Oryza sativa Japonica Group: one gene and its partners. The protein of the gene in region 1 binds, or shares a complex with, the protein of each later gene. Links are inferred from orthologs where the notes say so. Each region holds a gene or a part of one and is shown in the gene's direction. Other genes may lie near its edges.

What was found. Proteins that work in one complex are often made in the same cells at the same time.
Region 2: mediator of RNA polymerase II transcription subunit 25 (region 1) and mediator of RNA polymerase II transcription subunit 15a share a complex: the UniProt entries of both Arabidopsis thaliana proteins name them as parts of the mediator complex. The link is inferred for Oryza sativa Japonica Group from reciprocal best matches to the Arabidopsis thaliana genes PFT1 and NRB4.
Region 3: mediator of RNA polymerase II transcription subunit 25 (region 1) and mediator of RNA polymerase II transcription subunit 30 share a complex: the UniProt entries of both Arabidopsis thaliana proteins name them as parts of the mediator complex. The link is inferred for Oryza sativa Japonica Group from reciprocal best matches to the Arabidopsis thaliana genes PFT1 and AT5G63480.

What each region holds. Positions count from the first base shown.
Region 1 is NC_089043.1:12,248,734-12,252,245, forward strand, and holds part of mediator of RNA polymerase II transcription subunit 25, read left to right. Parts: intron 1-692; coding exon 693-902; intron 903-1,008; coding exon 1,009-1,074; intron 1,075-1,985; coding exon 1,986-2,193; intron 2,194-3,387; coding exon 3,388-3,443; intron 3,444-3,512. UniProt on the Arabidopsis thaliana protein: Component of the Mediator complex, a coactivator involved in the regulated transcription of nearly all RNA polymerase II-dependent genes.
Region 2 is NC_089042.1:28,450,872-28,454,925, reverse strand, and holds the start of mediator of RNA polymerase II transcription subunit 15a, read left to right. Parts: upstream 1-1,246; 5' UTR 1,247-1,377; coding exon 1,378-1,535; intron 1,536-2,327; coding exon 2,328-2,439; intron 2,440-3,305; coding exon 3,306-3,414; intron 3,415-4,054. UniProt on the Arabidopsis thaliana protein: Component of the Mediator complex, a coactivator involved in the regulated transcription of nearly all RNA polymerase II-dependent genes.
Region 3 is NC_089038.1:19,469,306-19,473,601, reverse strand, and holds the start of mediator of RNA polymerase II transcription subunit 30, read left to right. Parts: upstream 1-1,488; 5' UTR 1,489-1,558; coding exon 1,559-1,975; intron 1,976-2,404; coding exon 2,405-2,482; intron 2,483-4,158; coding exon 4,159-4,257; 3' UTR 4,258-4,296. UniProt on the Arabidopsis thaliana protein: Component of the Mediator complex, a coactivator involved in the regulated transcription of nearly all RNA polymerase II-dependent genes.

The sequences.
Region 1 (3,512 bases):
CCAGTATTCTCTAGAATCTGTCCTTTAATGCCCTTCTGCACAACATATGATTCATGTGAGAAAATTCTAAGGTGGTTTGCACATCCACTTATCAGCTATTGTCTCATAAAAAATGTCTTGATCTGGATATCAGCTACAGATAGCCTTACCTTAGTAAATAGAGTGTATAACTGTAATCACCATTTCATTAGGTTAATTTTTGTAAGGAAGATTTTCATTAGATCAACCCTATTAGGAAACTGGATGTCTGGGCCAGTACCCAGAATAAGCAGAGTGAAACTAGTATGATCAGAAGTTTAAATTCTATGAATGTACCTATATTAGTATGTTAATTTTCCTATGGTACTGAGTCTTCAAAAATCAAAATTTCAGTCTTCATCCCTACTATTATAAAGAGGGAATCGTCCTCCTCCACCTCCACATAAAAGCCTCTTTCCTCCATAAAAACTGTCCACCCTAAAAAAAACTGTTTACTAATAAAGCCAACCATTGTATAAACACCGAACAGCTCACTGGGCCCAAATCCTCCCACTAAACTTAATAAAAAAAACCATTGCAATGCATGACAGCATGAGCCTATAACTAGTTGAAAAATACTTGGGTCTTTGAATTTGATATCATTTTATTTCTTGAGTTCTCTATGAATTAAAGTATTTATTGCCTTTATGATTTTATTTCCTGTGTGCAACTAGATACTCCAAGGCAGTTCTAGTAACAGTCAGAATCATCAAAGCCATGAAGTACAAAAACATTGCATACTTGTTGCAGCAAGTAATCCTTATCCACTGCCTACGCCTGTCTACCGCCCCCTTGTTCAAAGTAGCGATCACAAGGAGAACAATGATGGAGCAAAAGAATCTTGTCTTGCTGATGCTGAGACTGTTGCAAAATCATTTGCTCAGGTCCTACACAAATACTGATATCTAGCATATTGCTGATTACCTGTGTTTCAATGAAGTGGTCAGCAGTCATTGTTGGTTCTAATTAATTTTACTTATATTGATGTAGTGCTCCGTTTCATTGTCGGTGGTATCTCCTAAACAGCTTCCAACTCTGAAAGCAATATACAATGCGGTAATTTCGTTATTTTGTTTTGCTAAATTCTGTAAGCCACAAGCCATCTTTAATAATCTTCTCCTGGTATTTTACTTGTTCATTGATGGTATGATAGTTGCATCTTGATTTACAGAGGGTTGAAAAACTCACTTAAGAATATATCTTTTAAAATAAATTATAAGCATGAACTTGCAGAACTGGCCGCTCCACTATTACATATGTTCTTGTACTTGTACACAGTACTAAACTTCATATTTTCATTACCATTGAAATAAAAAGAGTAAATTTTATCAAACACCACCTATTATGGTCCAAGTTGCACAAAACCACAGGGATTTTGGCACATGACACATAACCCCATGTATTATGGCCCTAAGGTTTAACAAGACCACACCGTTAACCAATTTTACATACTCCTATATCAAAGTTTTAAAAGTTTTAGTTACATTCATGTAACATTTATATGATGGATAAAAAACTCATAAATTTGTGATGTGATTTTATAAATGATCAATAGTGTGGTTGTGTGAAACTTTATAGCTATAATACCTGGTGGTTAAGTGTCACGTGCCAAAACCCATGTGGTTTTGTGCAACTTAGACCACAACACCTAAAGGTTAAGTGAAATTTACTCAAATAAAAATGAACTCAGTTTGGATTGTACTGTCATTGTATCTTATTTGTGGATAAGAAAAATATCCATTTATTTCATTTTTTTAATTAGTTAGTATCCTGCCTGAACTTGCTAGCTAGTCTTTGTATGGTTTACAGACTATAAATCTATGAATTGGCATCCTTATCTATCATTAGTTTAATACAAGCATTTTTTAACTTACATGATATAAATTTTATCTTCTGCAAGACCTTCGACAGTTTGTACTGATGAATAATTTGCACCAGGTGCTGATGTTGTCCATGTTTTGTTGCAGGCAAAGAGGAATCCTCGAGCGGCTGACCCATCAGTGGATCATGCAAAAAATCCACATTTTCTTGTTTTGTTGTCTGACAATTTTTTGGAGGCTCGAACTGCTCTAAGTCGCCCTTTACCTGGCAACTTGGTCACAAATCACCCCATTACAAAAATGGATACAGCTGCAACATCTGTGCCAGTACCAACTTCAAATGGCAACCCCTCAGGTTGAACAAATGCTAACATTTGGCTTAGTCTTGCCATGGTATTTAGCCTTTAGTTCTGTTCCTCTTTTGGACGAAAGGTTGTGACGTTGTTACGATGTTTGTGAATATGTAGGTGCTTACACATAGTCTAGCGTGAGTCTGCTTTAACAAATGCTTGACACAGCTTTGTTAAGGAAAAAAATGTTAGGCTAAAGTGAAATAAACCATTGCCATAATTACTCCATGGGCTGAAGCAACATAGGTTAACAATTATCGTTGCATATATTGGTACGCCTGACTATTTTAATAGCAGGAAGGATTCTGGCAATGCCCTTATGCCATCCATTTTTGGCCCGAAAAAAGCATATCATTGAGTTTTCAAAGCCTTAGAGGAATAAAATGTATTGTGAGCTCTCCTCTATTATGAACACGATGTGCTTGTGCATCTGACATTACATGGGACTACAATATAATTTCCTATAGTTTATCTCCAATTTGTCAAGTACAGATGCCTTGAGCTGGAGATGAAGAAAAATGGATGTACTGAATACACAAACGTGAAAACCTGCCTCCTAAAAGCTTGTACCATTGTGTTCTATTTGTCCCCTTCCCATCTGGGTGGTTTTTCAATTGTAGTGCCAAGAAAACATAGATTATTCTATAATGATTGTGTCTTCATGGTTATCATTGGCATGGGGTCACAACTAATTGTTTGGACTCTGAGTGATAATGCTTTCAATGGCATGGTGTCTTCGGATTGATGAATTCTATATGGATAACAAGTTTTGTTTTTCAGCATCTTAATCAAAATTAACACTGAGGATACAAATATATCGCAATTCCTGTTTTTATACACAGCAATGTGGTTTTAAAGGTATTCGTGGATATACATAATTTGTTGTTTTTGTGAGTGTTGATGAAGCCCCTTCATTGTTTGTTTCATAAATAAAATTTTACAGTTTAATGTTATGAAATGCCAAATTCTTATTGTTTGTATTGTACATTGCTATGTACTAATATATGCCAGATTGCCCATCTACCTAATTAAAGTGGAACATATTTCAAGTCTAGCCAATTGCTGGTTTTATTTGCATGATCCAGTTGTGATAAATCTGGAATTGCCTTATATAGAAATTTGTTTTTGGCTTCTGGTTATATCCGTATCATTACTATCTTCCATACTGAACATGACTAACTGTTATAAGTATTTTTCAGTTAATGGACCTATGCTTACCCGCCAACCAAATGGTGTTGTTGCAAATATTAAAACGGTAAAGCTTTGAACAACATACTCTGTGACTTACCATTTTGCTGTATGTTTTCTCATTGTGAAAACAATC
Region 2 (4,054 bases), on another chromosome or scaffold:
GTATGGTGTATATTGTATAATTGGTCATTTGGCTATAGGTCAACTCGTGTAATAGGACTGTACATTTATAATTGGGACTGTATGACTGGACGTTGTATTTGTGGTGGGACGGTGTGACTTGGACAGTGCTTTGGAAATGGGATTTGTGGTATGTATAGATATTCCGAGAATGCACGAGGGCAGAATAAATGGATTGCAACATGAGACTTTGTTTGGATGGATGCACCGTATTGCCAAATAGGAGTTTAGGGTTAACGCACGATAAATGAATTTATCGGTTGTTGTAGGATTATTTTGAGAGTGTTCGTACAAACGAACGACGGTAGCGAAGAAAGGATTTTAGGGACAACGCGTAGCATACAAATCCAATCGTCGCGGTAGGAATAGAATCGGAGATAATTGAATTGACGCATGATAAATAAATACGCCGATCGATTGTAGATAGTCAAGGGAGAGTGTTGGGTTTGAATTGATGGAGTGATTTTAAATAATCGCTGGGCGAGAGTTTGAGAGAGCAACAATATCGCGATAGGACAAAAAAGTTTTGGGTCATTGATTTATTTAGCATCGAAGCACATAACAAATTAGACCGCGAAGGTAAGAGAAGGTAAGGATGGAAAAAGAAAGGTATAGGAAAGGGTGTCCTTTCTAGAGATAGGGTTTAATCAAAATCTATGGCACAAATTCTAAACACACACAAATAAACAATAAATCCTAACATGCAAACTAGGCTATACCTGAGGGAAAATTAGACGTTGTGTGAGAAGGTCATATCTTTTGAAAATAGCCTATTATGAATTATATTTTGCAAATAGGGTTTTTAATAAATACTTTACTAATATATATTATTTTGTAATTAATTTTCCGAAGGCAAATTCCTTTTCAAAGGTTCGTATAAAATAGCCATAGCTATGTTTCTTTATTAAAAGGGTATTTATTTCAATATACTACCCATAGAGGGTTTTATCCAAAACGGTAACATGTATTTATGTGTAGCTTTATTTACAAAATAATTATGCTGAAGGGGTTCTAATAGAGAAGGGTTTTTATATATAGTTGGCATTTGCAAATGTTGAAATATTTCATAAATTTATTATTATATTTTATTAGTATAAAAAAGTTAGGGTTAACGCCATGCTACCGTATGCAAGGGGAAAGGAAACGCAATCGGAGTATGCTGTAAGTACAAGGGGGCAAATGCGAAATAAATACTAGGTCGGTCCAACCCCGAGGTTTCTTCTCCTCCGAGGCGAGGCGAGACTCCGATTCTAGCCTACCTCGCTCGCTCGCTCGCTCGCTCCGTCTTGTGGTCGCCGCCGCCACGAAGACCAAACCCTCGCAAATTGCAATCGAAGAAGAAGAAGAAGAAGAGGAGCCATGGATGGCGGCGGCGGCGGCAACTGGAGGCCCACCCAGGGGGCCGACCCCGCCGCCTCTGGGGGCATCGATCCCAACGCCCCGGCCCCCGCCCTCGCCGGCGGCGACTGGCGCTCCCAGCTCCAGTCGGAGGCCCGCAACAGGATCGTCAACAAGATGTAGGGCTTTCCCCCTCTCCCCCCACCCACTTCCCTTCCCTTCCCTTCCCCCAATTTTTCTTCTCTTCATCAACTATATAAAATAAAATAGAAGATCCATACATCGCATCATCCTTTTGTGCCTGTGGTCGATTCAATATGATGCAACTCTGATCCGATCTACTCCTACGTAGCTAGTTGTAATCTCATCATAATCTCCCCTTCCGTGCCCCTGTGTTTCTGTTATTTATTTATTATTATTTACTTTGTTAGTTAGGTCCAACTCCAATCCCTCCCCAACTATTTTCAGATTCTTATTAGCTTTGACATTCTTGTCTAGTTCACCTAGTCTACATATCCAATTGAACTCAATTTACATTTCATCAGACACAGTTATTACAGTATAGAGGTTTGCTTGGAAGATGCACCCCTTCTGTTCAAATGGATCTTCCCTTTGAGGGTCAGGGAACTATGATGGCAAGGCAAACTGTTTGTTGGAGAAACCGCCTACCTCTCTCGTTTATTTTACTTCGTTATGTTAGATCATGTATGTGCCACTCTCGCTCCGCGAGTCCTTTGTAGCTGTTGTCCACTTTTGGTCATAGCCACTATATTTGAGCGCGTAACTTGGGCTATGCCTACTCATTTGTCCAACATCTTGAATGGTAGACTGACACATTATGCCTTAGGTGACATTTCTCTTTTTTTTTTTGCACAAAACATCTCAAAAGCACTCTCTCTCTCTCTCTCTCTCTCTCTCGTTCTGCATGGGATATATTCGTCATTTACTTGCTTGTTGCAATCTGCGTACAGAATGGACACTCTGAAGAAGCATCTACCAGTATCAGTGCCTGAGGGGTTGAATGAACTTCAAAAGATAGCAGTGCGATTTGAAGAGAAAATCTATACTGCAGCCACCAGCCAGGTACACTTAGCCTCTTGCTAACTCATCGGGTTGATCCAATCTTTCAGTTGTGGGGCTCAAGCATGGCATTTGGGATCTTAGTAGAAGAAATCGATCGTCCAATGTTTGCAAATATGTCTGTTGATTTTGAAGTTTGTTAGAGTTTCGCCGTGAAGTATCCACATTTTCTTTTGAACCGATTGTAATATTTCGCACTTCCACCTAAATCAGATTATCCAAGGCTGCTGAAGCTTTTCCCCTTCCATTATCGGGGGAAAATCTCCTTTGCGCCTTGGATACAGGGACTAAGACTGATTCAGTCCTATGCTAGAGGTGTTGATGTCCCCACATTATTTTCATTGATAACATATCTCAATAGTAAATTAGTATTAATGAATTATAGAACTAAACAATATTTTTACCATGAGACTGGTTTCTCTCATTGGCCATGTTAAAAGTACAGGAGTTGTACCTTGAGTTCTGTAAGCCCATCATTCCATCTGTTCATGCTTGTATAAATCACCTGTAAAATATTCCCTTTATCCCAGATGAAACATCAAACAATGGTTTACTCCAGTCCTTCCTTTTGTGTTAGCGAGTATGTCATCATATATCCCACTTCATTTTGGTAAACATTTTTGTAGGAGCTTCTTTGGCTGGGTATAGGGATTCATAATCTCCAAATTCCAATTGTGTTCTCCTGTTCATACTTCATCAGGCTTATTCATGCCAAAGTAGTTTGCTGTATAGATAAGAATTTGTATAATTTAATTGATTGTATAAAAAAACGAAGCATATGTTTCAATTGTGCTAACCACCAGGACTTAGGGTGGCAAGTTATTTATTACAAAGCCAAATCTTACCATTGTATTCTTTTGTATCACCAGTCTGATTACTTGCGGAAGATTTCTCTAAAAATGCTCTCTATGGAGACAAAGACTCAACAGAATCCTGGAAACGCCCAAGTGATTCAAAACCAAAATCCCCCTGGCTCAGGTATCATATGAAGTATATTCAATATCCGATTCTGAAATACTGGAGTAATAGTAAGATATTCGCTGGTACCATATTTTGTTCACCGTAAAAGTCCTTGTATATATTTTTCATGATGTAACTATATTGCATGTGTGTTTACAAGCCCCATTTCTGAGAGGAAACCATCCAATGGAAGCTCTGCCACACTGGGTACAACAGTGCTCTCTCGTTTTAGCTTGTATCGGATAATGCTCAAGCAAGTAAATTAAGGCGAGATGCCTGTCAGTCGAAACCTCCAAACTTGTTGATTACTCGAACCTAATTAAGTAATTGCTAATCTTGATAGCAAACACACCATTTGGATGCTGGCCACGAATCCTTGCATGGTCATATTCAAAGCTTTTGGGCACCAACATCAAAACAGACGACCCCTTCAATCTGCTTGTTCTAGTAGAGGCTAGATCAGCCATGGCTTCCAAAGTAGAAAAGCAAAGCAAGGCTCACACCATCACGTCTGCTGCCAGCAGCCCAAAGACCAAAGATACACATAGCTTTCTAGCACTCATTCTCTCTCTTTTTAATCAAAGATTAGTATCATAGTCTAGCCCATTGGCAATACACAATCACTTCATCGATATAACCTCTCGCACTGGATTTCCTC
Region 3 (4,296 bases), on another chromosome or scaffold:
TGGCGTGGCTTGTTGACCTGATCTAACCGACTGAATTAGCATGTGGGGCCTAGATGTCAGCGTCCCCTCCTCCCTCTTTTACTTTTATCTTCTTTCTTCCCTATCCTTTCCCTACATGGTGATGAGCTCTAGTTGGGAAGGCGGTCGGTAGAACAAGGGAAGACGATAGGGATGCCACTGAGCATCTGACGAAGGTGACTCTTCCCAATTCCCATTCCACCCCCTTCCTGGGATCAGGAGAGGACACCGACCACCGCTCTTCGGTACGGTGGAGCAAACGAAGTGTCGTCTAAGAGGTGGCTAGAGACGGGCGGGAGACGTTGGACTCCAGCAATCGAGGACACACATGTCGACATTTCCTATCTCTGGAGAAGCTTCATCAAGATCGAGCTCGCTTGCCTCATTGGATTTGCCTCGTTGCCCTCACCAAGAACGGTAGCGGAACAAGGTTGCCACGCCCACCAAGGATAGGGGGCATGTGCTCGCCATTGCCTACAGCTTGAGTCTGTCATTAAGGTCAACGACATGGACGACGTGCTCCAGCGAGCCATCGAGGATGACCTCCCCCTCGGTGGCAATGATGACTACAAGAGCTCGTCGACATCTACCCCTTGTCCTCCGACGGGTGGTGGCTATCCCTTGGCCATGCAGAGATATGCACGTGACCCTCCTCTCTCTCTCCCTCACTATTGCCATGTATGGCTCCACAACATATAAAGGAGAAGGACTCTTAGATCTCGATGACAGCGAGGTCAATCACCATCCTTGTCCATTGCTAGGCCTTATTAACCGAGGCGTTGATAGAGGTGAAGGTGGGAAAAGGACGTCGGATTAGAGGAGGCGACAGAGAGAAGGGGAAGTGGCTTGAGGCTCGGATCTGTGAAGGAGAAACACTGATGGGACCCGGCTTTGTCCAGATCAGTGAGGGGCCTCGGTGTGGCAACCGTTGGAGCCCACAATGAAGAGGACATCTACGGCAGCACTGGGCCTCTCCGACTCTCCATCACCGCTGTGGCCCTTCCCTCCTTTGCTCCACAAGGTTGCCAACAGAACCAAGCTTAGTTGGTTGTGTCGGTGGTGGCTTTGTCGTCTAAGTCACTGACACTATTCATGCTTGAGCTCGTCACCGCGTGGAGAAAGGAGAGGGAAGAAAAGAAAAAACAAAAGCATGAGGAGAAAGAGAAGGGGACGACATGTGGGTCCCACATGCTGACTTAATCGGTTAGACCAGTTCAATGAGCCACGTTAACGAAAACCACCCTCAAAATAACTAAAAAGAGTTTTTTTATTCACCGGTGTTAATAGCCGAGGGTTCGATATACACGGTTTGCGATTAAGGGAGAACGAATCAGATTGGACCTATAGTCGAGGGAGACAAATTGGACTTATTCCGCTCAAATACTAGGGCCCTGATAAGGCCAGGCCTGGGCTTCGAGCTTCGGCCCAAAATCAACATATCCTTTGGGCTTTTGGACTATGTTGGGCTCTGAAGCTAAGCTTAGTTCACTTCACAGCCAGCGCCGACGAGAGGAGGAGCAGATCGGCTAGGGTTCCGGCGATGGCCTCCTCGGCGGCGGCGCGGCGGCGGCAGGAGATGGCGGCGGAGGGGCAGCGCCACCTGGAGGAGACCATCGCCGCCGCGTTCCAGATCCTCTCCTCCATGAACGACGAGCTCTGCAACCCCACGCTCTGGTCCTCCTCCTCCGCCGCCGCCGCCGCGGCGGGCGGCGCCGGCGGACTCCAGCACCACGGCAACAACCACCACCACCACCACCAGCACCACCACCACCACGGCGGTCTCCCTCCGCCGCCGCCGCCGCTGCACTCCGCGGACTCCGACGCCGCCGACGCCGCCGGGGGAGGGCCCGGGGGCGCGCCGGGCTCCGGCGGGTCGCTCGACGAGGCCAGGCACCGGTACAAGGTCGCCATGGCGGCGCTCCGCACGTCCATCGCCGCCGTGTCGTCCTGTGCTCAGGTCAGCACACGAATTTACCCGACATTGCATGCTCCCGTAGTATGTATGCAACCACGAAATGCGTGTTTCTAGTGATCGTCTAGTGGAAATTGTGAAACGTATTGCACTCTTTGTTGATATCAAGTTAGGTGCTTATACATAGGTAAGGGAGCCAAATAATTTTTGCAAAAGAAAATTTCTTATTATTGATACCAATGTAAGGGAATGTAAGGGATGTTGTGATGTAGGTTCGGACTACATGGATGTGGACTATATATATGTTTCAATCAACATGAGCTTTTAGTGTTCAATGTTCATGAGACAAAAATAGTAGTTTTATATGATTCTATTTTTAGCAGTAAGTGTAATCCTGATGTGCAAAATATGGTGCTATGGAGAAACCTCATAACAGTTTACTTCTTTGTAATGATGTTGTGGTTTTCTTCGTAGGAGATGGGATCGACAGAACACAAAGCTGATCAAGCTGAGATTGAGAGATTGGAAGAACATGCATCTGCTTTGAGAAAGGTACTATCTTGGGAATGTTCTAGCAATATAATCAATATCATTTTGCTGTATTCAGAATTTTTCCCTGAACCAGTTGGTAACTGGTGCTTATTTAGCCATGTCAATCCCAAATATTTCCCAAACAACCTGTTTTGAACATAATGTGTGTGTGTGTGTGTGTGTGTATATATATATATATATATATATATATATATATATATATATATATATATATATATATATATATATATATATATATATATATATATATATATATATATATATATATATATATATATATATATATATATATATATATATATATATATGTTCCTTTTATGCTTCAATCATTTTAATTCAAAAAGTCCTGAGAAGAGTGTAATCCCCAATTTTTACCTGAAACCATTTTAGATAGCCAGGATCTAGTTTGGCAAGCTGTGATACTGTGTTGCTTGTAGTGTTTTGGATAGTCATGTTCATTCTGTTGAACTCGTCAAAAAAGCGTTCCATCTTGATCTTTCCTGGCAATATTCATGCTTGTTAAGTTGTTATCTTATCATTGTTTTTTCTGCACTGGATACTGCATGTCATTATTGTTTGCATACTTGGATTTGCCTGCTAGTTTAGAACTTACTCCCTCCGTCCCAAAATAAATAAACATAGTATGGAATGTGACACACCCTAATACTAGGAATCTGGATAGGGGTCTGTTACTAGGTTTGTTATTTTGGGACAGAGGGAGTAAGTTTTTGCAAATCCACCTTTGATGCTAATTGGATTCTGGACTATTTAGCAAATCCTTTTCATCCTTTGGAGGGCTGTTGGCTGTAATGGCCTTGTAAGTCTCAACTACTCCTTATCTATGCTAGATCATTATAGCATAAATACAGATTATTCTCCTTGATGTGTATAAATGTGTATAGAAAAATGGATTTGTGGCTTATTCAGTTCCATTTGTATGATTTATTGAGATCAGTGATTTTCATGTACTCCTATGTTTGAAGTGTAGCAAACCATAGTTATTAAGACCGGACCGGTGATCGAACTGTTAGGGTACTCGGTTCACTGGTTTATTGGTCGGACCAGTCAAACCGCCGGTTTAAAGCGGTTCAAATAGATGTGTGTTAGAATACTAGAACAACATGTGACATAGCCGGCTGAGACTCTCCGTGGAAGCAAGGAGGTCTTGGTTCGATCTTCAGTTCAGCAGGTTTTTTCCTATTTTCTCTAACTCCACGTGACACCCTCCAGCAGTCGAACCACCTTCGGTTTTTGTCTGGTTCTGCAGAAAACCGCCCGGTTCAATGGGTTTTTGCCGGTCTGTTTGCTCAACGATCTTTTAGCTGGACTGGACCAGCCAACGCCCTGGTTCCCTTTTTTTCTGATCGGACCACTGGTCTGGTCTAGTTCTAATAACTATGTAGCAAACAGTGTTCTCTAATGCCTCGATTACATAGTTTGTTCCTAAAAAGTTCAAAGCATTTCATTTTAAACATACACTGGTCAGTACAATCTCAATTAGCTGATCCCATGTGTCCTAGTTCAGATTTCTATATATGCCCGTGGTATCATGGTCTGTGGAAGTTTTGAGTCCTCACGCTTTTGACATATATAATACATTTTTTGTTTCAACCTAGTAATGTGGCATACTGTTCTCTGGTACCGTAAACCAGTCTAATACAGGATGTTTACTGCAGGAAATTGAAAGCAAAAACAAGCATGTAAAGCTCCTTATCGACCAACTCCATGATTTAATATCGGACATATCAATGTGGCAGAGTCCTTGCTCAGTGTGAAAACTCATCGGCATTTATCCTTTAGGAATCCAAAAATCA